Linked DNA regions of Anolis sagrei. The protein of the gene in region 1 purifies or fractionates together with the protein of each later gene. This does not show direct contact. Links are inferred from orthologs where the notes say so. Each region holds a gene or a part of one and is shown on either strand. Other genes may lie near its edges. The genes, in order: RNF146, PARP2 and CHD1L.

Evidence for each region.
Region 2: the proteins of RNF146 (region 1) and PARP2 purify together in Homo sapiens (affinity purification with mass spectrometry; 4 studies listed by BioGRID and IntAct, counting the BioPlex papers as one, with this or other methods). This does not show direct contact. The link is inferred for Anolis sagrei from reciprocal best matches to the Homo sapiens genes RNF146 and PARP2.
Region 3: the proteins of RNF146 (region 1) and CHD1L purify together in Homo sapiens (co-immunoprecipitation; 3 studies listed by BioGRID and IntAct, counting the BioPlex papers as one, with this or other methods). This does not show direct contact. The link is inferred for Anolis sagrei from reciprocal best matches to the Homo sapiens genes RNF146 and CHD1L.

Annotation. Positions count from the first base shown.
Region 1 is NC_090021.1:84,808,417-84,815,994, reverse strand, and holds the start of RNF146 (E3 ubiquitin-protein ligase RNF146), read left to right. Parts: upstream 1-4,530; 5' UTR 4,531-4,762; intron 4,763-7,578. UniProt on the Homo sapiens protein: E3 ubiquitin-protein ligase that specifically binds poly-ADP-ribosylated (PARsylated) proteins and mediates their ubiquitination and subsequent degradation. May regulate many important biological processes, such as cell survival and DNA damage response.
Region 2 is NC_090026.1:13,338,910-13,346,064, forward strand, and holds the start of PARP2 (poly [ADP-ribose] polymerase 2), read left to right. Parts: upstream 1-4,058; 5' UTR 4,059-4,215; intron 4,216-7,155. Other genes in the region: perforin-1-like, read left to right, coding at 1-1,067. UniProt on the Homo sapiens protein: Poly-ADP-ribosyltransferase that mediates poly-ADP-ribosylation of proteins and plays a key role in DNA repair.
Region 3 is NC_090022.1:166,739,756-166,746,686, reverse strand, and holds the start of CHD1L (chromodomain-helicase-DNA-binding protein 1-like), read left to right. Parts: upstream 1-3,916; 5' UTR 3,917-4,026; coding exon 4,027-4,123; intron 4,124-6,019; coding exon 6,020-6,132; intron 6,133-6,931. Other genes in the region: uncharacterized protein, read right to left, coding at 820-996. UniProt on the Homo sapiens protein: ATP-dependent chromatin remodeler that mediates chromatin-remodeling following DNA damage.

The DNA.
Region 1 (7,578 bases):
CACAGTAATTATCATTATATTTGCTCTGCAGCAGAAGACTTTTATGCAATTATCTTTGGAGAGTTAGGGCCTCGCATTTATTAATGAAGCACATTTAAAAGCCAATGTTTCTAATGTCATTAGGCCAAAGAGCAGGAGTGCAATTAGTACATTTAAGCGTGTTAAAGTATTTGTTCTCTTAGCAGTACAGTTCTCTGCTTCACTAAGGTAGGAGTGGACAAAGTAGAACTGCAACTCCCGACATCATCTTTAGCCATGTTTGCAAGCATTGTTGAGAGTTGCAATCCAACATCTTGAAGGCCATAGTTGGCACCCCATTGGGACCTCCAATGGATACCAAAGCCACGATATACAAAATAGTGTCCCTTAGGCCCCAACTACATTATATGATCAGTGTAGACCCATATAAGCTGAAGCTGGTGCAAAATGCGGCGGCTCGTCTTCTCGCCGGGGTGCCGGCGAGGTGTCGTATCACCCCAATTCTACAACTGCACTGGCTTCCGATAGAGTACCGGATCACTTTCAAGGTGCTGGTACTAACCTTTAAGGCCTTATATGGTCTGGGGACGGCGTACCTGAGGGCCCACTTATCCCTCTACCAACCCCAGAGATTACTTCAGTCCGAAGACCAAAATTTGCTTGAAGTCCCCAACATCTGGACTTATCATCTGTCCTCTACTAGGCAGAGAGCCTTTTCGATTGTAGCCCCTTATTTATGGAATGCCTTGCCAGTTGAAACCCGAACCATCCGAGAGCTACTTGCTTTTCGGAAAGCCTGTAAAACCTTTCTTTTCCGACAAACTTTCGATGGGTGAATAACTCGGGACTATGTCTGTTCTCGTTTTTATTGTATTTTAAAGTTGGGTGTATTGTTTTTGATCTACTGCTGTAAACCGCTCCGAGCCAAACTGGGAGTGGCGGTATACAAGTCAAATAAATAAATAAATAAATAAACAAATAAATAAATAATGCAGTCAAATGCAGTTAAACTTCACTGTAGATAGGGCCTTACATAAAATGGCAACATCAAGGTTTGTTTGGGCTTTTTAAAAATTTATTTTAAATATTTTCTATCAATGAATGGTTGAATCGATGGATACAAAATCCATGGAGATGGAGGGCTGACTGTTACATTGTGCTGTGCAACCCTGCAGTAAGGGCTGCCCAGCTGGCAGATCACATTTAAGTGGTCTCTTGGCACAATACAGATATGATAATACCAGCTTGTGTTCTGAATGAAAAGCTATACTGTTCCAGCAAAAGACTATGCAACTATGGCAGCTGAATTGTGATTAAGAGAAGCAGGGGCATAGAGGCAGGTCCAAAAGGATGAATACTAGCTTCTTAAATATCCCATTCACGCTCTGGTTACATCCCAAATAGATTACTGCAATGCACTCTATGTGGGGTTGCCTCTGAATACTGCTCGGAAGCTTCAACTAGTCCAACGCTCAGCGGCCAGGTTGCTCACAGGGTACAGGGAACGTACAACTCTCGTTACGCCAGTTCTACTGGCTGCCTATTAGCTTCTGGGCACAATTCAAAGTGCTGGTCTTAACCTATAAAAACCCTAAATGGCTCTAGCCCTGTTTACCTGTCCCAACGTATCTCCCTCTACAAACCCCCAAGGACCTTAAGATCATCCAGCGAGGCTCTCGGTCCCACCACCTTCACAGTCATGTTTGATGGGGATGAGAGACAGGCCCTTCTCTGTGGTGCCCTTTTGGCTGTGGATCTCCCTCCCAAATGAGATTAGATCTGCCCCATCTCTCCTGACCTTCCGGAAGAAACTCGAATCCTGGCTTTGGGATCAAGCATTTGCAGAACAGACTGATTTACTGGTGAAGATAAGGTTTTAGTGGACTGGCCAACTGTTTAAATGCATATTTATAACTGTTTTTAATGTATTCTAATTGTATTTTATATTGTATTATTATAATGTGTCAGCATCAAATAGCTGCCTGTTGGAAGCCGTCCTGAGTCCCTTTTCAGAGGTTGAGAAGGACGGGGTATAAATGTCCTAAATAAATAAATTCAGAGCATTCCAGGAGTAGGCTATTTGGCCAAAAACTATGGAAATGTGTTTTTCATACCCTCATTAAATAAGCATGATTTAATACATTTATGGTTGAAATACCCAAATGGTACCAAACCTTGTTGGAAACTAAGCAGGATCAGCCCTTGCTAGTACTTGGATGGGAAATCACAATTGAACACTATATTTCAGAGGAAGAATCTGACTAATCAGAGGATGAATCTGTTGAGGTCAATAAGTGACTTGAAAGCACACATAATATTCCTGAGAAGGGCAAGCAAAAAAAAAAGTGATTTGTCAGTTTCATCTTCTGATAACACACATTTATTCCAGATTCTGTGAGGTATTCCTAAAAGAAATATCCAAATACTTCTGGTTCCAAGCATTTTGGGTCATGCACAAAACTGTGTAAAATATTGTGTATAAAATTACCTTCTGGTTCTATGGATAAGGTGTACCTGAAACAGAAATCAATTTCACATTTTGATTTAGATCCCAGCTCCAAGGGCACATCTACACTGTAGAATGAATGCATCGTGATACCACTTTAACTGCTGTGGCTCAATGCTGGGAGTTGTAGTTTGATGAGGCATGAGAACTTTTAGGCAGAGAAGTCTAAAGACCTTGCACAGCTACAAGTTACTCCCCATGACTTCATAGCACTGAACCACAGCAATTAGAGTGGTGTCAAACTGCATTCATTCCACAGTGTAGATAAGGGCTGGGCAAACTTGGGCCCTCCCCTCCAGGTGGTTGGGACTTCAGTTCCCACAATTCCTAACAGCCTCAGGCCCTTTCCTTTTCTCCCTTAGTTGCTTAAAACAGTGTCTCTCAACCTTCCTAATGCTGCAACCCCTTAATACAGTTCCTCAGATTGTGGTGACCCCCAACCATAAAACTATTGCTGTTACTCCTTCATAACTGCTATTTTGCTACTGTTATGAATTGTAATATAAATATCTGATATGCAAGATGTATTTTCAGTGACAGGCACCCAATAAATACCCGATACACCCAAATTTGAATACTGGTGGGGTTGGTTTTGTCATTTGGGAGTTGCAGTTGATGGGATTTATAGTTCACCTACAATCAAAGAGGATTTTGAACTCCACCAATGATGAAATTGAACCAATCTTGGCACACAGAACTCCCTTGACCAATAGAAAATATTTGAAGGGTTTGGTGGGCATTGCCCTTGAGTTTTGAAGTTGTACTTCACCTACATCCAGAGAGCACTGTGGACTCAAACAATGATGGATCTGGACCAAACTTGGCACAAATATTCCATACTCAATATGCCCAAATGTGGACACTGGTGGAGTGTGGGAGAAAGTTGAGAGTTGTGGTTGCTGGGATTTATAGTTCACCTACAATCAAAGCTTACCAATGATATAATTGGACCATATTTCCCACATAGACTTACTTAGGCGATCCTTTGTTTTCCGAGGAGGATTGTCTTCCAATAGTCTTGTGGGTCCGTATGTGGCTGTGGAGCCCTATTCTTGCTCTGCATCTTCTTCCGCAGTGAGAGCATTGGTTTCCAGGTGGAAGGTGGTCTCGATTGGGGTTGGTTCCTCTTGGCACACTTCTCCCTTTCGCCCTCCATTTGTACCTCTTCAAATTCTGCAGCACTACTGGTCACAGCTGACCTCCAGCTGGAGCGGTCAAGGGCCAGGGCTTCCCACATAGAACCCCCATGACGAACAGAAAATAGTGTTTCCTGGTGGTCTTTGATTACTCCCCCCCCCCCAGGGTCTTGATACCCAGGTTGTGAAACACTGGCTTAAAAGGAAAGGGCTCGAGGCTGTTAGCAATGGTGGGAGTCCAAGTCCAAAACACCTGGAGGGAGGGCCCAAGTTGGCCCATGCCTGGTGTAGAACCTTTGTTGTTGGTGTTGTTCATTCGTTCAGTTGTCTCCGACTCTTTGTGACTCATGGACCAGCCCACGCCAGAGCTCCCTGTCGGCCGTCACCACCCCCAGCTCCATCAAGGTCAGTCCAGTCACTTCAAGGATGCCATCCATCCATCTTGCCCTTGGTCGGCCCCTCTTCCTTTTGCCTTCCACTTTCCCCAGCATAATTGTCTTCTCTAGGCTTTGCTGTCTCCTCATGATGTGGCCAAAGTACTTCAACTTTGTCTCTAGTATCCTTCCCTCCAGTGAGCAGTCGGGCTTTATTTCCTGGAGGATGGACTGGTTGGATCTTCTCGCAGTCCAAGGCACTCTCAGCACTTTCCTCCAACACCAGAGCTCAAAAGCATCTATCTTCCTTCGCTCAGCCTTCCCTAAGGTCCAGCTCTCACATCCGTAGGTGACTACAGGGAATACCATGCCGGATCTTTGTTGCCAGTGTCTCTACTCTTTACTAGAACCTTAAAGTACCCAATTGCAGAGCCTTTCCTGCAAAGCCACGCCTACTCCCAAACCGAAGCCCCGCCCCTTCCCCTTCTTCGCCCCGCCCCTTTTGTTTTGGGCTCCGCGCTTCCCGCTTTGGCTCCGCCCACCGTAATGCGTGATGACGTCGGGGAAGCTCGAGCGCTCTGTGTCGCGGCAGAGCTAGCCGGAGGGAGAAGGCAGGCGAAAGGGAAGGACGGCGCAGCCTCATCACCGAGCGGAGGGGGAGGAGGAGGCGGAAAAGAAAGAGAGAGACTGAGAGAGAAAGAGACGGCGGAGGGAGAGCAGTAGATCGGCTCCTGCCGCTGGCCGAAGGTTGAGTAGCGAAGCGGGAGGTGAGTGAGGGAAGGAAGGGGTTGCGTGACGACGACGGCGCTCTCTCTCTCTCTACGTTTATTCGGAGGCCGGGCCTCCTCCTGGGCTCGCGCTCTCTCTCTCCCCCTCCCCCCCCTCCCGCGCGCCCCAGCTCTTCTGCCTTAGTTCCGCCTCCCCTCCGCAGCCGTTTCTCCTTCCGGAGCCGAACAAAGGCCCCCTCCGTTGCCGCCTGGCCTTGGGATCCAAGGCGGGCTGGAAGTGGAGAGGGGGGGGGGGGAGAGAGAGAGAGAAAAGGTTTCGCTTGTCAATCCAGCGAGCCTGGCCTCCCCCATTCCTCCCATAGGATTCTGTAGGCACTTGTTGGAGCAGAGTATGATTGTTATTGTTATATCATCGTAATATTATTGTCGCATTATGTGGTTTTTTTTAAAAAAAATAGCCTGCGTTCCCCTCCAAATTGGGATTCAAAGAGACTCACTTTTTTTTTTAAAAAAAGGGCAGTCAAAACATACTCCAAGTGGATTTTAAAATAGAACTAGGCAATCTATCTATCTTATATCATTCAACTCATATTATTAATTCAGTTAAAATAGTATCCTTTTTTATAATTGGTCATGCTCTCCCTTCCAAATTCAAAGTGACTTCAATTTAAGAAAGCGCGATGCAATCCAAACCTATGCGAAGCGGATATTAAAACTAGAGTTAGGTTGTTATTATTATTGCTATATTTACCCTGGCATTAAGTCTAGTCATGTCCAGCTCTGGGGGTTGGTGCTCATCTCCATTTCTAAGACGAAGAGCCGGCGATGTCCACAGACACCTCCAAGGTCATGTGGCTGGCATGACTGTGTGGAGCGCCATTACTTTCCTTTCCTGCATAAGTGGTCCCTATTTATTATTTATTTAAAACTTTTATATCCCGATCTTCTCACCTCCATAGAGGGACTCAGACCGGCTTACAGCAAGGATTCAATGCCACTAATACAAGTTAAAACATCATACAATATAAGATTAAAATACATATAGATAAAATACATATATACCAAATCACCAGGGTAAAATCATGTTCAACTCAGTCCACATATGTGGTCACGCACTTTGGTCTGTAACCAGTCTCAGCCATTATTCTGGGAATGCTTCATTCCATAACCAGGATTTCACTAGCCTCCTGAAGGACAAGAGGGAGGGGGCAGATCTCACCTCACTCGGGAGAGAGTTCCATAGTCGAGGGGCCACCACCAAGAAGGCCCTGTCTCTCGTTCCCACCAATCGCGCTTGCGAAGGTGGTGGAACCAAGAGCAGGGCCTCTCCGGAAGATCTTAACATCCTTGATGGTTCATAAGGGAGAATATGTTCAGACAGGTAAACTGGGCCGGAACCATATAGGGATTTATAGGTTAAGACCAGCACTTTGAATTGTGCTTATGTTTTCAAACTGCTAGATTGGCAGAAGCTGGGCCTAACAGTAGGAGCTCACTCTGCTCCCAGTATTCGAACCACCAACCTTTCAGTCAGCAAGTTCAGCAGCCTAGCGTTAAACCCACTGTGCCACCAGGGAGGACATTGCTATATTTATTATGTTATTATTTTGTTATTATACTTATTTACAGCCTGCTTTCCTCCTCGGAATTGGGATTCAGAGTGGCTCACAATGCAGCCACAATGCAATCAAACACCTACACAGTGAATATTAAAACAAAATTACACTGTTAATAATAATAACTTTGTTCTTGTACACCGCCACCATCTCCCCGAAGGGACTCAGGGCGGCTTACATATGGGGCAAAAGTCCACAAACATAAAACATAAAAGCAAGACAATCTATAAAATAAAACACAATAAATTGGTGCATCATAAATACAACAACCAAGATAAAATACACTAAACCTAACATAATAAAACAGATTGCATTGGAGCTCCATTGGACCGCATTCAACAAAACTAATGATTGGATTTCTAAGATGGGCAAGGGCCGGGCAAGGAATAGTGCAAATAGTGTATTATCTAGCAACCTAGGGGCTGGGTATATATAACTAGCGACTAATCATTAATAATAATACATTTATTGCAATATTTTGTTCTACATACTTTTACGTTCCCCATCAAATTAGGATTCAAAGTGGCTTTTAAAAATACCAATGCAAGGAAAAGTCTACCTGAAGTGAATATTAAAACAGAATTAGGTTATTATTACTTTATTATTATTATTATTATTATTATCATGTTTTTATACTTTGTTATATCCAGCTTTCCCCTCAAAATTGGGTTTCAGAGCAGTTCAGTTTTAAAAAGAACAATGCAGTCAAAAAACCTACAGAAACTGAATATTAATAGAGAATTAATGTAACCACCTTCTTCCTCGCTGCCCTGCTCCAAATGCCAGCCTTGCACCAGAGGCTGACCTTCCTGCGGTGGAGGTGCGTGGGGGAATTTTTGTCTTATTTTTCTGGATGGAGTGGAAGATGAGGCAGGGACAGCAGTGTTCTTGGCTGTCACGAGCACTTGTTTCTAGGGCTTGAGTCAGTTTTCTGCCTCCTATTCACGGTCTTTCTCTCCCCTCCCCCACCCTTTATTTGTTTGAGGCGGGGAGGGCATGTGTAATAATCACAACACACCAAATCTTGAGAGGTTAGAAAAAGAAGGTGACTTTGGTGGGAGATTGTCTTGTTCTGAATTTGGTGAGAGATTGTCTTGCATTTTATAGCTGTATGGCATTTAAAAACAAAAAACAGGATGGTAACTTTCCCTTGGGTGGGTTGCTGTTTACAATATAATTAGAAAGCTTTATTGCAAACTTTAAAAGACTGGTTGGTATGGTGCTCTTGTACTGTTCACC
Region 2 (7,155 bases), on another chromosome or scaffold:
TTATCAACATCTATGGCACGCACTATATCAGCCACGTCCGTTTGGGAGGGCGAGTGCGCCACCTCTTAGCTGTGCGCACTTGCACTATGGCCTTGGCAGGTTTCACCATTTCCAAGATCAAGGACTGCCTGAATTGGGAGGTTAGTCTGGGGCACGAATTGCTCTTTGGATCCAGTTCCCTCAAGTCCAAGTGCCAAGAGCTCTGGGGAGCGAAGGGCTGGGGAAACTTTTATGACATCTACAGTGGACAACGCACAGAGGTGGTGGGAGGAGACCAGCGAGTGGAGATGCTCTTCTCGCAAACTGGAGAAGTCCAGCGCTTTTCAGAATGGATGGAGACGGCAAAAACAAAGCCCGGTTTGATCTCGTTCTCCCTCCTACCTCTTCATATGTTGTTGCCCCGAACAGATCCAAGGAGGGACTTGTTGAAGCGAGCCGTTGTGGGTCATATCAGCCAGAGAGCCCTTAAGAGGGACTGCCCACAAGACTGCCCATCCTGGAGCACCCAAAACACAGAGAAGAGCTGCACATGTAAATGCCAAGCTGATGCCATCGTGAATGACATGTGCTGTGCCTGGGAACGAGGCCGGGCACGTCTCAGCTTCACCATTTCCACTGGTGCCAACCTTTGGGGCGATCAATTCACCGCCACCGACGCCTACGTCAAGGTTTTCTTCCAAGACCAGGAAAGGCGAACCAAGGTTGTCTGGAACAACAACCACCCCAACTGGACTGAAACTGTGGATTTTGGGGCTGTGACGCTGATGGACCACAACCCTTTTCTGGTGGAACTGTGGGACGATGACGTCTGGCATGATGACCTGCTGCAGAAATGTCGTGGCAATTTGGTGGCCGGAGGAGGCACCGTTGGGCTCACCTGTTATTCACGTTATGGACACATCGAATTTTCTTACTCGTTGGAGTGCGGACGCACCTTGGGAGGCCCCAGTTGCTATGACTATGTCCCCTTACAGCTGCCAACATCATATTTCAACAACACCAGTTCCCCATTCCGTGCTTTATCTTTGTCTCATATGTTTCAGGAAGACTTCCAACTGCAGAAGTAAAACAAACCCAAACGAAGCAAAGGATAAGACTGGAACAAAGCCGCTTAGCAAGTGAGGCAAATGCAAGACTGATAACACTATGTAACTCAATTTTTGTTCCTGGGTTATAAATGGCATTTCTTAATTCAGTGGCTCTCAACCTTCCTAATGCAGTGACCCCTTAATGCAGTTCCTCATGTTGTGATGACCCCCAAACATAAAATTATTTTCGTTGCTACTTCATAACTGTAATTTTGCTACTGTTATGGATCGTAATGTAAATATCTGATATGCAGGATGAATTTTCATTCACTCCACAAAATTGAGCACAAATACCCAATACGTACAAATTTAAATACCGGTGGCATTGGGAGGGGGATTGATTTTGTCATTTGGGAGTTGTAGTTGCTGGGATTTATAGTTCACCTGAAAAGGTCTTTGAGTGAAATTTCCAAATGCTAAGCAAGGGGATTTGAAGGAAATTAACAGCAAAAGAGAAATATACCCTTTCTCTGTAGAAAAAGAGCAACACGGAAGAAAATGTTTTTAAGAAACAAGATATGACATGCAGAGGTCATGCAAAGTTCAAGCCTACATAGGAAGTTGTGTTGTGGTTAAGTTCAAAGGTTGTGGTTAAGCGCAGAGCCTGCAGGTACAAGAAGGTACTTTCCATCAAAAGGTCAAGGGAGAGGGGCTAGAAAGAGAATACTTTCCATGACCAAAAAAAATGTTCTTGTTTACTTGAGGGTATATAACGGTGTACAAAAGCCAAGGGGGCGCTTTGGCCACACATCTCTATTTTAAATGTAAACTGGAAATTCAATAAAGATTTAATGGGGGAAAAAAAGCCAAAGGGGCGCGGCAGTCACTTGAAGGGTAGCATCTGCGTATGCTGCCAGGCTGTCCGTCTTGTTCATGAAGAAACTAAAATAAACCTTGTTTTTAAATCTTTTTTTGGGACTGTCTCCTTCCTTACGTGCTCATGTGATGTGGACCTAAGAAGACCCAATTTGTTGAGAGGTAATTCGATGTCCCTGCCTGCTTCCTCTTTGTTGTTGTGCTGTTGCAATTTTTTAATAGTGGTAGCCAGATTTTGTTCATTTTCATGGTTTCCTCCTTTCTGTTGAAATTGTCCACATGCTTGTGTATTTCAATGGCTTCTCTGTGTAGTCTGACATGGTAGTTGTGAGAGTGGTCCAGCATTTCTGTGTTCTCAAATAAAATGCTGTGTCCAGGTTGGTTCATCGGGTGCTCTGCTATGGCTGACATCTATGCTATGCTATGACATCTAATCACCTCTCAACAAAAGTTTGCTCCAGGCACAGTCAGACCATTGTATGCTAATCAAGGTGGTCAGTTGAAACATTCACACCTAGCTCCAGCAGACAAGAGTCCTTTGTCTCACCCTGGTCATTCCACATTCCTTTTTCCTAGTTCCAACAGACCTCACTACCTCAGAGGATGCTTGCCATAGATGCAGGCGAAACGTCAGGAGGAAATGCCTCTAGAAAAAACCTACAACAACCCAGTGATTGCGGCTATGAAAGCCTTCGACTATACAAGGACAATTATATGTTATTTATTTATCGTGTCATCAGCAACCATTGTATTACAATTCTAACAGAGTAAAACAAACACACAGATTAAAAAGAAAAAGGGAAAAAAGGGAAAAAAACACACAGATTTTGCAGATTTGGTATTTGGTTAAATATCCTTTGACCAGTATCTGGCCACTTGGAGTGCCTCTGGGGTTGCCGCAAGAAGGTCCTCCATTGCGCATGTGTCAGGGCTCAGGTTGCATTGCAGCAGGTGGTCAGTGGTTTGTTCTTCTCCGCACTCGCATGCTGAGGATTCCACTTTGTAGCCCCATTTCTTAAGATTGGCTCTGCTTCTCGTGGTGCCAGAGCGCAGTCTGTTCAGCGCCTTCCAAGTCGCCCAGTCTTCTGAGTGCCCAGGGGGGAGTCTCTCATCTGGTATCACCCATGAATTGAGGTGCTGGGTTTGGGCCTGCCACTTTTGGACTCTCGCTTGCTGGGGTGGTTCCACCGAGTGTCTCTGTAGATATTTCTAGATTTAAGTTGTTGACGTGCTGGCTGATACCCAAACAGGGGATGAGCTGGAGATGTCTCTGCCTTGGTCCTTTCACTATTGGCTGCTACTTCCCGGCGGATGTCAGGTGGTGCAATACCGGCTAAGCAGTGTAATTTCTCCAGTGGTGTGGGGCTGGAGGCAGGCACCCTGTGATAATGCAGCATGTCTCATTAAGAGCCACATCTACTGTTTTAGTGTGGTGAGATCTGGGCATGCATACTCAGCGCAAGGGCAGATGTCTTCACTGTGTCTGGTTGTGATCACCAGACTGGGCCACAGCGATGCGTGGCAGGGGAGGGCTAGTGTTAAATAAAGTGGGGAAAAGGATTTGCTGGGTGGAGACTAGTCTGAATTGGGTTATGAAGCCATGGCTTCACCTCTGCCCATTGTACTCATATTTGCTGGCCGTGAGTCGTTCCCAAACCCCAAGCAGGCCGCGGAGGCATCCGCGGGAAGGAGTGGATCCTGTGCCCGCTTCTCCTGCCTCAAATCTGGGGCGCTGCCGGAGGCCCATATCGCTGGGAACTCACCCACCTTCCGAAGGTGGCGCCCTGCTAAGGCGGAAATAGCGGCCCTTCTCTCAGACCTTCCCAGAGGAGCAACGGGAGTGACGTACACTCAGCATGTGGCCTCTTCGGAGAGCTTCCTCCCAGCCTGATTGAAAAGCCCGCTATCCCTTCTGTATATATAGCATGAGTCTGAAATAAATTTCAAGATAGGGCGACTTTCTTAAAAATTTCTTTGCATATGCTTCACACAGTTTGAAAGGATTTAGAATTGTAATGCTGTACCTGGAAAATTTAACCGCGGGGAAGCAAACACACTTACAAGCCTAGGAAGCCTGAGTCCATAGTGCAATACGGTTAATTTACATCTTCCCGCCCTCCTAGAAGTTCACATGCAAACGAATGTATATGCAAATGAGGAGGCGGGCCTAGCTGGCCTGTAGAACGTTCCCGGGAGCGCGCGCAAAGGGAAGCAGAAGGGGAAAAGGGGCGGAGTTTGCAGCATTGGTTGCAAAGAGCACAGCAGGAACTTGGGTAGGTTGCAAAAGGGAGAGGGTGCAAATCGAAGCAAGGTAGATATATTTATTAAGGCAACATTAATGCAGTTTGGCACCACTTTAACTGCCATGACTCAATGCTGTGGAATTATGGGAGTTGTATTTTGTTATTATTTATTGTTATATTTGTTTATAACCCTCTTCCAAGGGGCAATTTTTGCAATCTGATCATATGGGGGAATGGGTTGGTTGGGTGAACAATATGTTTATGCCTGATCTGTATTTTTGCCTGAGCTGTGTTGTTTTTTGTGAGGTCACTTTGGGAGTGTGGTGGGAGTGTGGTGCCACATATATCCAGATGAGTCCCTATTGTACAAGAATCATAGAATAATAGCTCTGAGCTCTGAGGATAACCTGGGAAGGAATCCCACTGGAGCATTGCAGCGCACCCAAATACCTGGGAGTCACTCTGGACCGTTCTCTGACATACAAGAAGCACTGCCTGAACATCAAGGAAAAAGTGGGTGCTAGAAACAATATCATACGAAAGCTGACTGGCACAACCTGGGGATCACAACCAGATACAGTGAAGACATCCGCCCTTGCGCTGTGCTACTCTGCTGCTAAGTATGCATGCCCAGTGTGGAACACATCTCACCACACTAAAACAGTGGATGTGGCTCTTAATGAGACATGCATTATCACGGGGTATCTGCGCCCTACACAACTGGAGAAATTACACTGCTTAGCTGGTATTGCACCACCTGACATCCGCCAGGAAGTAGCAGCCAATAGTGAAAGGACCAAGGCAGAGACATCTCCAGCTCATCCCTTGTTTGGGTTTCAGCCAGCACGTCCATGACTTAAATCAAGAAATAGTTTTCTTAGATCTACAGAGACACTCGCTGGAACACCTCAGCAAGCGAGAGTCCAAAAGTGGCAGGCTCAAACCCAGCACCTAAATCCGTGGGTGATACCAGATGAGAGACTCCCCCCTGGGCACACAGAAGACTGGGCGACTTGGAAGGCACTGAACAGACTGCGCTCTGGCACCACGAGATGCAGAGCCAATCTTAAGAAATGGGGCTACAAAGTTGAATCCACAACATGCGAGTGTGGAGAGGAGCAAACCACTGACCACCTACTGCAATGCAGCCTGAGCCCTGCTACATGCACGATGGAGGACCTTCTTGCAGCAACACCACAGGCACTCCTAGTGGCCAGATACTGGGCAAAGGACATTTAATCAGCTACCAAGTTTTCAAAATTTGTGTGTTTTTTTGGGTTTTTTTATCTGTTTGCTTGTTTTGTTCTGTTAGAAATGTAATACAATGTTCTGGTTGCGGATGACACGACAAATATATAGAATAATAGAATCCTAGAGTTGGAAGAGACCTCATGGGCCATCCAGTCCAACCCCCTGCCAAGAAGCAGGAATATTGCATTCAAATCACCCCTGACAGATGGCCATCCAGCCTCTGTTTAAAAGCTTCCAAAGAAGGAGCCTCCACCACACTCCAGGGCAGAGAGTTCCACTGCTGAACGGCTCTCACAGTCAGGAAGTTCTTCCTCATGTTCAGATGGAATCTCCTCTCTTGTAGTTTGAAGCCATTGTTCCATGGCGTCCTAGTTTCCAGGGAAGCAGTAAACAAGCTTGCTCCCTCCTCCCTGTGGCTTCCTCTCACATATTTATACATGGCTATCATATCTCCCCTCAGCCTTCTCTTCAGGCTAAACATGCCCAGCTCTTTAAGGTGCTCCTCATAGGGCTTGTTCTCCAGACCCTTGATCATTTTAGTCGCCCTCCTCTGGACACATTCCAGCTTGTCAATATCTCTCCTGAATTGTGGTGCCCAGAATTGGACACAATATTCCGTGTGTGTTCTAACCAAAGCAGAATAGAGGGGTAGCATGACTTCCCTGGATCTAGACACTATGCTCCTATTAATGCAGGCCAAAATCCCTTTGGCTTTTTTTGCTGCCACATCACATTGTTGGCTCATGTTCACCTTCCTCCCCAGAAGACTCCAAGATCTTTTTCACACGTACTGCTCTCGAGCCAGGCATTGTCCTCCATTCTGTATCGTTGCATTTCATTTTTTCTGCCTAAGTGGAGTATCTTGCATTTGTCACTGTTGAACTTCATTTTGTTAGTTTTGGCCCATTTCTCTAAACTGTCAAGATTGTTTTGAATTCTGCTCCTGTCCTCTGGAGTATTGGCTATCCCTCCCAGTTTGGTGTCGTCTCCAAACTTGATGATCATGCCTTCTAACCTTTCATCTAAGTCATAAATGAGAATAAGGAAGCTGTCCTGACCCTAAACCAGTGTCTGTCATCAGTAATGGATTGGATGAGGGCAAACAAGTTGAAACTTAATCCAGACAGGATAGACTTGCTCCTGATCAGTCAGAAGGCAGGCTTAGTTGGTGGGAACTAGCCTGATAATAATAATAATAATAATAATAATAATAATAATAATAATAATATAAGCGTAATAATAATATAAGCGTAATAATAATATAAGCTCCCCAGGTGGTGCAGTGGGTTAACCTGTTGAGTACTGAACTTGCTGACCGAAAGGTTGCAGTTCGAATCCAGAGAGCAGGGTGAGCTCCCACTGTTAGGCCCAGCTTCGGCCAACCTAGCAGTTTGAAAACATGCAAATGTGAGTAGATCAATAGGTACCACTCTGGTGGGAAGGTAACAGCACTCCATGCAGTCATGCTGGCCACATGACCCAGGAGGCATCTACGGACAACTCTGGCTCTTTGGCTTAGAAGTAGAGATGAGCACCAACCCTCAGTCCGGTAGGCTGTTAGGAATTGTGGGAGTTGAAGTCCAAAACACCTGGACGGCTGAAGTTTGGCCATACTTGGGTTAAAATGTTACCCTCTCTATTCTAGTTCCATAAACAAGAACTTTTTGTTTTGTTTGACCTTTAAGGACTGAATGTAGATGAATCATACTACTATACAAATGAAACCAAAAAACAAAAACAATGTGCTGGATTTTCTG
Region 3 (6,931 bases), on another chromosome or scaffold:
ATTCTAGTGTTTTCTGTTGGTCATGGGAGTTCTGTGTGCCAAGTTTGGTTCAATTCCATCGTTGGTGGAGTCCAGAATGCTCTTTGATTATAGTTGAACTATAAATCCCAAATGACAAAATCATAATTTTTTGAGTGATGGTAACTCCTTGTGTAGTGACAAGTTTTGTCTGACACTTGTGGCCAAATTTGGTGTGGTGTGATTTCGTTCATTGGTTCTTTTGTTTTTATGGTACTCATTATGTGCAGAGCATTTTTATATAGATATAGTTCACTGAGGTTAACCTGCATTCTGAAACTGAATTATATGGCAATGTAGACTCAACTGGAGTGTTTACAAAGTAACAGCCAAATGTGCCCTTTGTTAACTGGGGACACATTTTTTTTCATGTCAGGAGCGACTTGAGAAACTGCAAGTCGTTTCTGGTGTGAGAGAATTGGCCGTCTGCAAGGACGTTCCCCAAGGGACGCCCGGATGTGTTACCATCCTGTGGGAGGCTTCTCTCATGTCCCCGCATGGGGAGCCGGAGCTGGCAGACGGGTGCTCACCCCGGATTTGAACGCAGTCACAATCATTCTCAAATGCTTTGAGAAAAAAAAGAGACGTTTTGCAACCACGTCACGAGGTCTTTTTCGGTCGCCTCAAATCAAGCGGGACCCAGCCCTGTGGAAGCCAGTCCCGCTGTGAAAGCGAAAGCGGTAGCAGTAGACCAAAGCGGAGCCTAGTACTGCCCCGCCTTCCTTGCGCCCCCAAATCCGCGGCTCAATGGAGGCGCGCCTCGAATGCCTCCCCCCCCCCCCTCCGCCCGGTTCTCTTTACCGCGTCGGCGGGCGGCCCCTTCTGGGCTGCCTGGCTCCGGCCGTGCTCCCGCCGATGGAAAGTTGTGCCCGGCGCCCCCGTGGCCCTCCGCAAGAAGCCCAGGAAGAAGGCCAGCGCCAGCGCCGCTCCCCACGCCGCCCTGAGCAGCAGGCAGCAACCCCCCTCCTCTGCCTCCATCGCGGCCTCAGGGCAGAGTGGCCAGCGCCAAGCTCGTTAGCCCTCCGGAGGCGGGGCCGGGGCTGGTCTGGCCTGGCCTCACAGGGGCCGAGCTTCTGCCAGAAAAGGGATGGCGCTGCGTCCCGCTCACGAGTGCAATAGGGGGGGGGGGGGGGATGGAGGCGCTCGCGGGCGGCGCGTGCCGAGGAGCGCGCGTGTGCGGCAGGTGCACATCCAGCCTGCCCCCTCCTGCTCACGTGCTCCTCCTTCACAATTAAAGGGGCCTTCCTTTGGGGCACCGCTGGAAATGCTCGGGTACCTCTCTATGGGCCAGGCCCGCAGTGGTTCTCAGCCTGTGGGTCCCCAAATGTTTTAGCCTTCAACTCCCAGAAATCCTAACAGCTGGTAAACTGGGTGGGATTTCTGGGAGTTGTAGGCCAAAACACCTGGGGACCCACAGGTTGAGAACCACTGGGAGTGTAGGAGATGGAGCGTACAGCCAGTCCTCCATATGTCGTTTCTCACAGGGGTCCTGTGCCCCTAACCCAGCCATGAGCAAACTTCGGCCCTACCGGCTGTTAGGAATTGTGGGAGTTTATTTATTTATTTACTTTATTTGTATACCGCTCTTCTCAGCCCTTAGGCAACTCAGAGCAGTTTACAACAGTTTCGGTATACACAATACAAAATCATTAGGCATTTAAAAGCAATAGCTTCACAAATCATTAGACATCAGCATCAATACATCAGTACATCAATATAACAAATCCATCAGGTCTCATCAATGAAATCAGAATCCAAACTCGTTATCCATTATTCCGTGTTCCGATAATCAGTCAATCAATCACACTGCTTAGTCGAATGCCTGTTCAAACAGCCAGGTCCTTACTTTCCTTCGGAATGCCAGCAAGGAGGGGGTTGATCTAATATCTGCAGGAAGGGCGTTCCACAGCCGAGGGGCCACCACTGAGAAGGCCCTGTCTCTCGTCCCCACCAGGGGTGCTTGTGAAGCCGGCGGGATCGAGAGCAGGGCCTCCCCAGACGATCTTAATGTCCTAACTGGTTCATAGGAGGAGATGCGTTCGGACAGGTAGGTCGGGCCAGAACCGTTTAGGGCTTTAAAGGCTAAAGCCAGCACTTTGAATTGTGGCTGGTAGCAAATTGGCAGCCAGTTGAAATCCAAAACACCTAACTCCATATGTTTTTATTGATTAGTCCACCAACCATAACAACAATAAAAGACAAAAAAAAAACACAGACAAATAAACACTAATCACTATCCTAAAACTTCTGTAATAGTTAACTAAAATAAATTAAAACACAATAAAATTTTATGAAATAATAAGTATGGTAAAATGGGATTAAATTACAAGATGAAAGCGGGGGGGGCGGGGGTAGAGTGACAGGTACATATGCACAAAATAATAATATATAAATAAATAAGTAATGTTCATTCGTGTGATTAACATAACTCCAAAACCAGGCATGTAGCCGGGGAGGGGGCATGGGGGGTTTCAGCCCCCCCTCCCCCCCCCCCCCAAATTCTCATGGTGATTTGCGAAAAGGCCTTACTGGTATATTATTTAAACTGTTATGTTTATTCATATCATGATCTGATCACCATGCTCAATATATCTCATATGCATGGGGGTATTGGGGTAACGATACAAAAGGTTTGCTAGGGTAGACCCTCTTTCACTCAGACTCAGCCCCCCCCCCCGAATCGAAATCCTGGCTACGGGCCTGCCCGCAGTGGTTCCCAACCTGTGGGTCCCCAGATGTTTTAGCCTTCAACTCCCAGAAATCCTAACAGTTGGTAAACTGACTGGAATTTCTGGAAGTTGTAGGCCAAAACACCTGGGGACCCACAGGTTGAGAACCACTGGACCAGGGAGTGTAGGAGATGGAACATACAGCCAGTCCTCCATATATCGTTTCTCACAGGGGTCCTGTGCCCCTAACCAAGCCATGAGCAAACTTCGGCCCTACCGGCTGTTAGGAATTGTGGGAGTTGAAATCCAAAACACCCAACTCCATATGTTTTTATTGATTAGTCTGTAATAAGAAATTCAGTGTGCAAATTTGATAAATGTAAATTTAATAATGATGTGTGGGAATGAATGGAAGAATGGAAGGTTGTATGAATTGAGCTAATAATTTTGGAAACACCAGTATAATATTAAGGCCTGCAATGACTATCTACCTGCTTGCTGGACTTGCTAATGAGAAGTTGTGATAAGAACTGGGACAGTGATAACGGAAATGTTTGCAACTTTCCTTATGTTAAGAAGGAAGTCAACATAAGATCAACACCAATCAAGAAGAGTAAACATCTGGCCAGGAAACTGGGATGGATCCAGGATGGAAGACATGTATCATTAATTTACAACTTTTATGGGACTACATCAACAGATTTTTCCTATAAAAGACTCAGGCTAATAATGCTCAAATCGTGGCACACAAAAAAAATTAATTTTGTCACCCTGAGAATTTCAATCCCCCCCCCCCCAAGTTTGGTTCAATCCCATCGTTGGTGGAGTTCAGAATGCTCTTTGATTGTAGGTGAACTATAAATCCCAGCAACTACAGCTCCCAAATGGCAAAATCATAACTTTTTGCGTGATGGTCATTCCTTGTGTTCTGAAACGTTTTGTTGCCAAATTTAGTGTGATTTCGTTCATGGGTTCCTTTGTTTTCAAGGTACTCATTATGCACAGAGCATATATATATATATATAGAAGATTAACACAGTTTGAGACCCCATTAACTGGCGAAGCGCCATGCTCCAGGATCATTCGCACTCCCAATTCCCAAAAGGAAAAGACGCGAAAAAGCGGGAAAGACGCGGCGGCGGCAGCGGAAACTGACCGTCGCAATCCTGGCCAATCACAAAGAGACGCTTCTACCCATCAACCAATGGGCGTGAGCCTGTTTCTTTCCTTCCGGAAGCCGCTTTAGAAAGTCGAGGGACCTCGGAGAAGCAAGCCGAGCTGGACCTCGTGTCGCCTGAAGGGTCGCTCGCTCGCTCGCTCGCTTGAGGGGCAGGAAGGGATGTCCCTCTTCTTCCGGGCTGTGGCAGACAGGAGCAGATCCAGCCAAGCAGGCGCAGGGGTCGAGGAGGCCCATTTAAACCGATGGGGTCTGACCGGTAAGTACGCCTGGCTCTCAGAACAGATACTACGCAAATAAACAACTATAACAGGAAATCAGGCCTGGTATTTTATAGGCCATGGCAGCATCTACATTGTAGAATTCGATGCCACTTCAACTGCCATGGCTCAATGCTATGGAACCCTGGAATTTGTACTTCGATGAATCCGTAGCATTTTTTGGCAGAGAAGCTAAAGATCTTGTCAAACTTACGTATTTGATTTATCATATCAGGAGCGAACCAATGTATTTGAGAAAACACTTTGCATTCTGTTTGAGCGTGGTGAGATGTGTTCCACACTGGGCATACATACTCCGCAGCAGAGTAGCATAGCGCAAGGGCAGATGTCTTCACTGTGTCTGGTTGTGATCCTCAGGTTGTGCCAGTCAGCTTTTGTATGATATTGTTTCTAGCACCCACTTTTTGCTTGATATTCAGGCAGTGCTTCTTGTAGGTCAGAGAACAGTCCAGGGTGACTCCCAGGTATTTGGGTGCACTGCAATGCTCCAGTGGAATTCCTTCCCAAGTAATCCTCAGAACTTGAGATGTTTGTCTGTTCTTAAGATGAAAATCACACCTCTGTGTCTGAGATGGGTTGGGAATCAGCTGGTTTTGCCTGTAATAGGTAGTAAGAGCACCTAAAATTTTGGAGAGCTTCTGTTCAACCATCTCAAAGCTTCTCTTGAGCGGTGATGGCACAATCTTCAGCATAGATGAAACTCTCTTTGAGGTGGTAGTCCTTTGTGATATTATACATTTTCCTCAGGAGAAGGCATTGATTTACAATGTCATAGGCTGCTGAAGACAACTCCTGTAATCTGCTGCCTTTCAAAACCGTCTTCTATGTACTGAGTCGGGTTCAGCACTTGTGATGTGCAGCTTTTGCCCTCCCTGAAACCAGCTTGCTGTGGAATCAGACATTGTTCTATGTTTTCCATAATTCTATGCAAAATAAGTCTCTCCAGAACTTTGTAAAGATGACACAGTAAGGAGATTGGTTGATAGCTTTTTAGATCATTGTGGTCTTTGCCTGTTTTCAAGATGGCTATGACTCTTGCTTTCCTCCAGATTTTGTGGATCTGACAGGATGCAATGCAAGTTGTTCAACAGCTCCAGCAGCCAGCACCTTGTTTTTGTGCATCAAAGTTCTTAATTTGTTCCATCCGTAGATCATCCAGGCCAGCTTCTTTGCCATTTTTGCATTTATTGAAGGCCGTGTCCAGTTCAGTAGATGTAAAAGGTTCATGAAGGTTGTTGTTCTCATTTTCTTGTTGTCTGTTTGTTTCCTTCCTACTTTGGTGGCAAGGTTGGGTTTCCCATTCTTCAGAAGTTGATGCGCTATCTGATCTGCCTTTATGTTGGCATGAGTATTAGTTTGTGAGGGATCATTGCTCAACTGTTTTAGCAGCCTCCCGCCTTCTGACTGCTCCTGCCCATGTCGACTTCTGTTATCAGCTTGATCCACTGTTTTTTCTTGGCTTCAGACTCATGTGATTGCATAGGATTCAGCCATAGCAGTTGAATTGGAGTCAAGCTGCCATAATTGTAAAGTCCCTTCTATACTGCCATACAAAATCCAGATTATCTGCATTGAACTGGATTATGTGGCAGTGTAGACTCATGTACATTGCTATATAAAATCCAGATGATCTGCCTTGGATGGGATTATATGGCAGTGTAGACCGATACAATCCAGTTCAAAGCAATCCAGTTATCTGCTTTGATAATCTGAATTATATGGCATTGTGGAAGAGACCTAAATGGTATGATTTTAGAGGGAAAGATTGAGAAGGAAATCCTAGAGCAACACCAAAGTTCCAGCCTTTACCCATCAGATTGATGCAACCCTTTCCATGTATGTGGTTCTTTTTCTCTCTTTTTTCTTCACTCAAGGCATCCATCTCCATCCGTATCAGCTGGAAGGTGTGAACTGGTTGACACATTGCTATGGAACGTGGCGTGGCTGCATCCTGGGTGATGAAATGGGCCTTGGGAAGACTTGCCAGGTATATCTCTCCCTCCTTCTGTAGAAAAACCTGGTATTTTTAATTGTTGACCAGCCCCTAGATCAGCATGTCCACAAAACCCTAGGGCTCCTCAAAAGCATTGTATAGGTTCCATAAAAATCTTTAAAATAAAATTTAAAACAGATTTTAAAATAAAACCACACGAGGCTAACTGTTTAATTTAGACTCCCCGTAAGAGCTTTTTTTGGACTACAGCTATTGTTATCAGTAATGTAGTTACTGGCTACCCAGTTCAACATTTGCCATCTGAACAAGAGTGATGCACACGTAAATGATTTTTCACATTGCTCCCACACGCCTTTTTGTGAATTTTTCTTTCAGGTACAGTTTTTGAGATTAAAGATGTTTAGAATATTGGGATGTTATTCATAAAATATCAAAGAGTAAAATTTTCTCCAAAACTCGATATCAGAAATTGAGAGAAGTATGTGAATTGGCATAATATATATATATATAGAGAGAGAGAGAGAGGGAGAGAGAGAGAGATTTTAAACAAATTGCTGATAGAGTTAGGGTTCTACAGAACATAAATGTCTTCTGAAGAGTTCCATGATTTGAGAGCTGGTGCCCTAGATGCTTCCCCAACATTTTTTGCTATTAGCTGTGCTGGATAGGAATAATCTTTTGTCCATGAATACATGTAGAGTTGGGTTTGCATTTAAGCAGATTGAGCAGTTATCCAAACATCAGATTTTGGATGTCAAAAAAGCAGAACTGTATATTCTTATTTGCTCAACTGGGAAAGTATTCTTACTATCTGGGAATAGGGGTGGTGGGA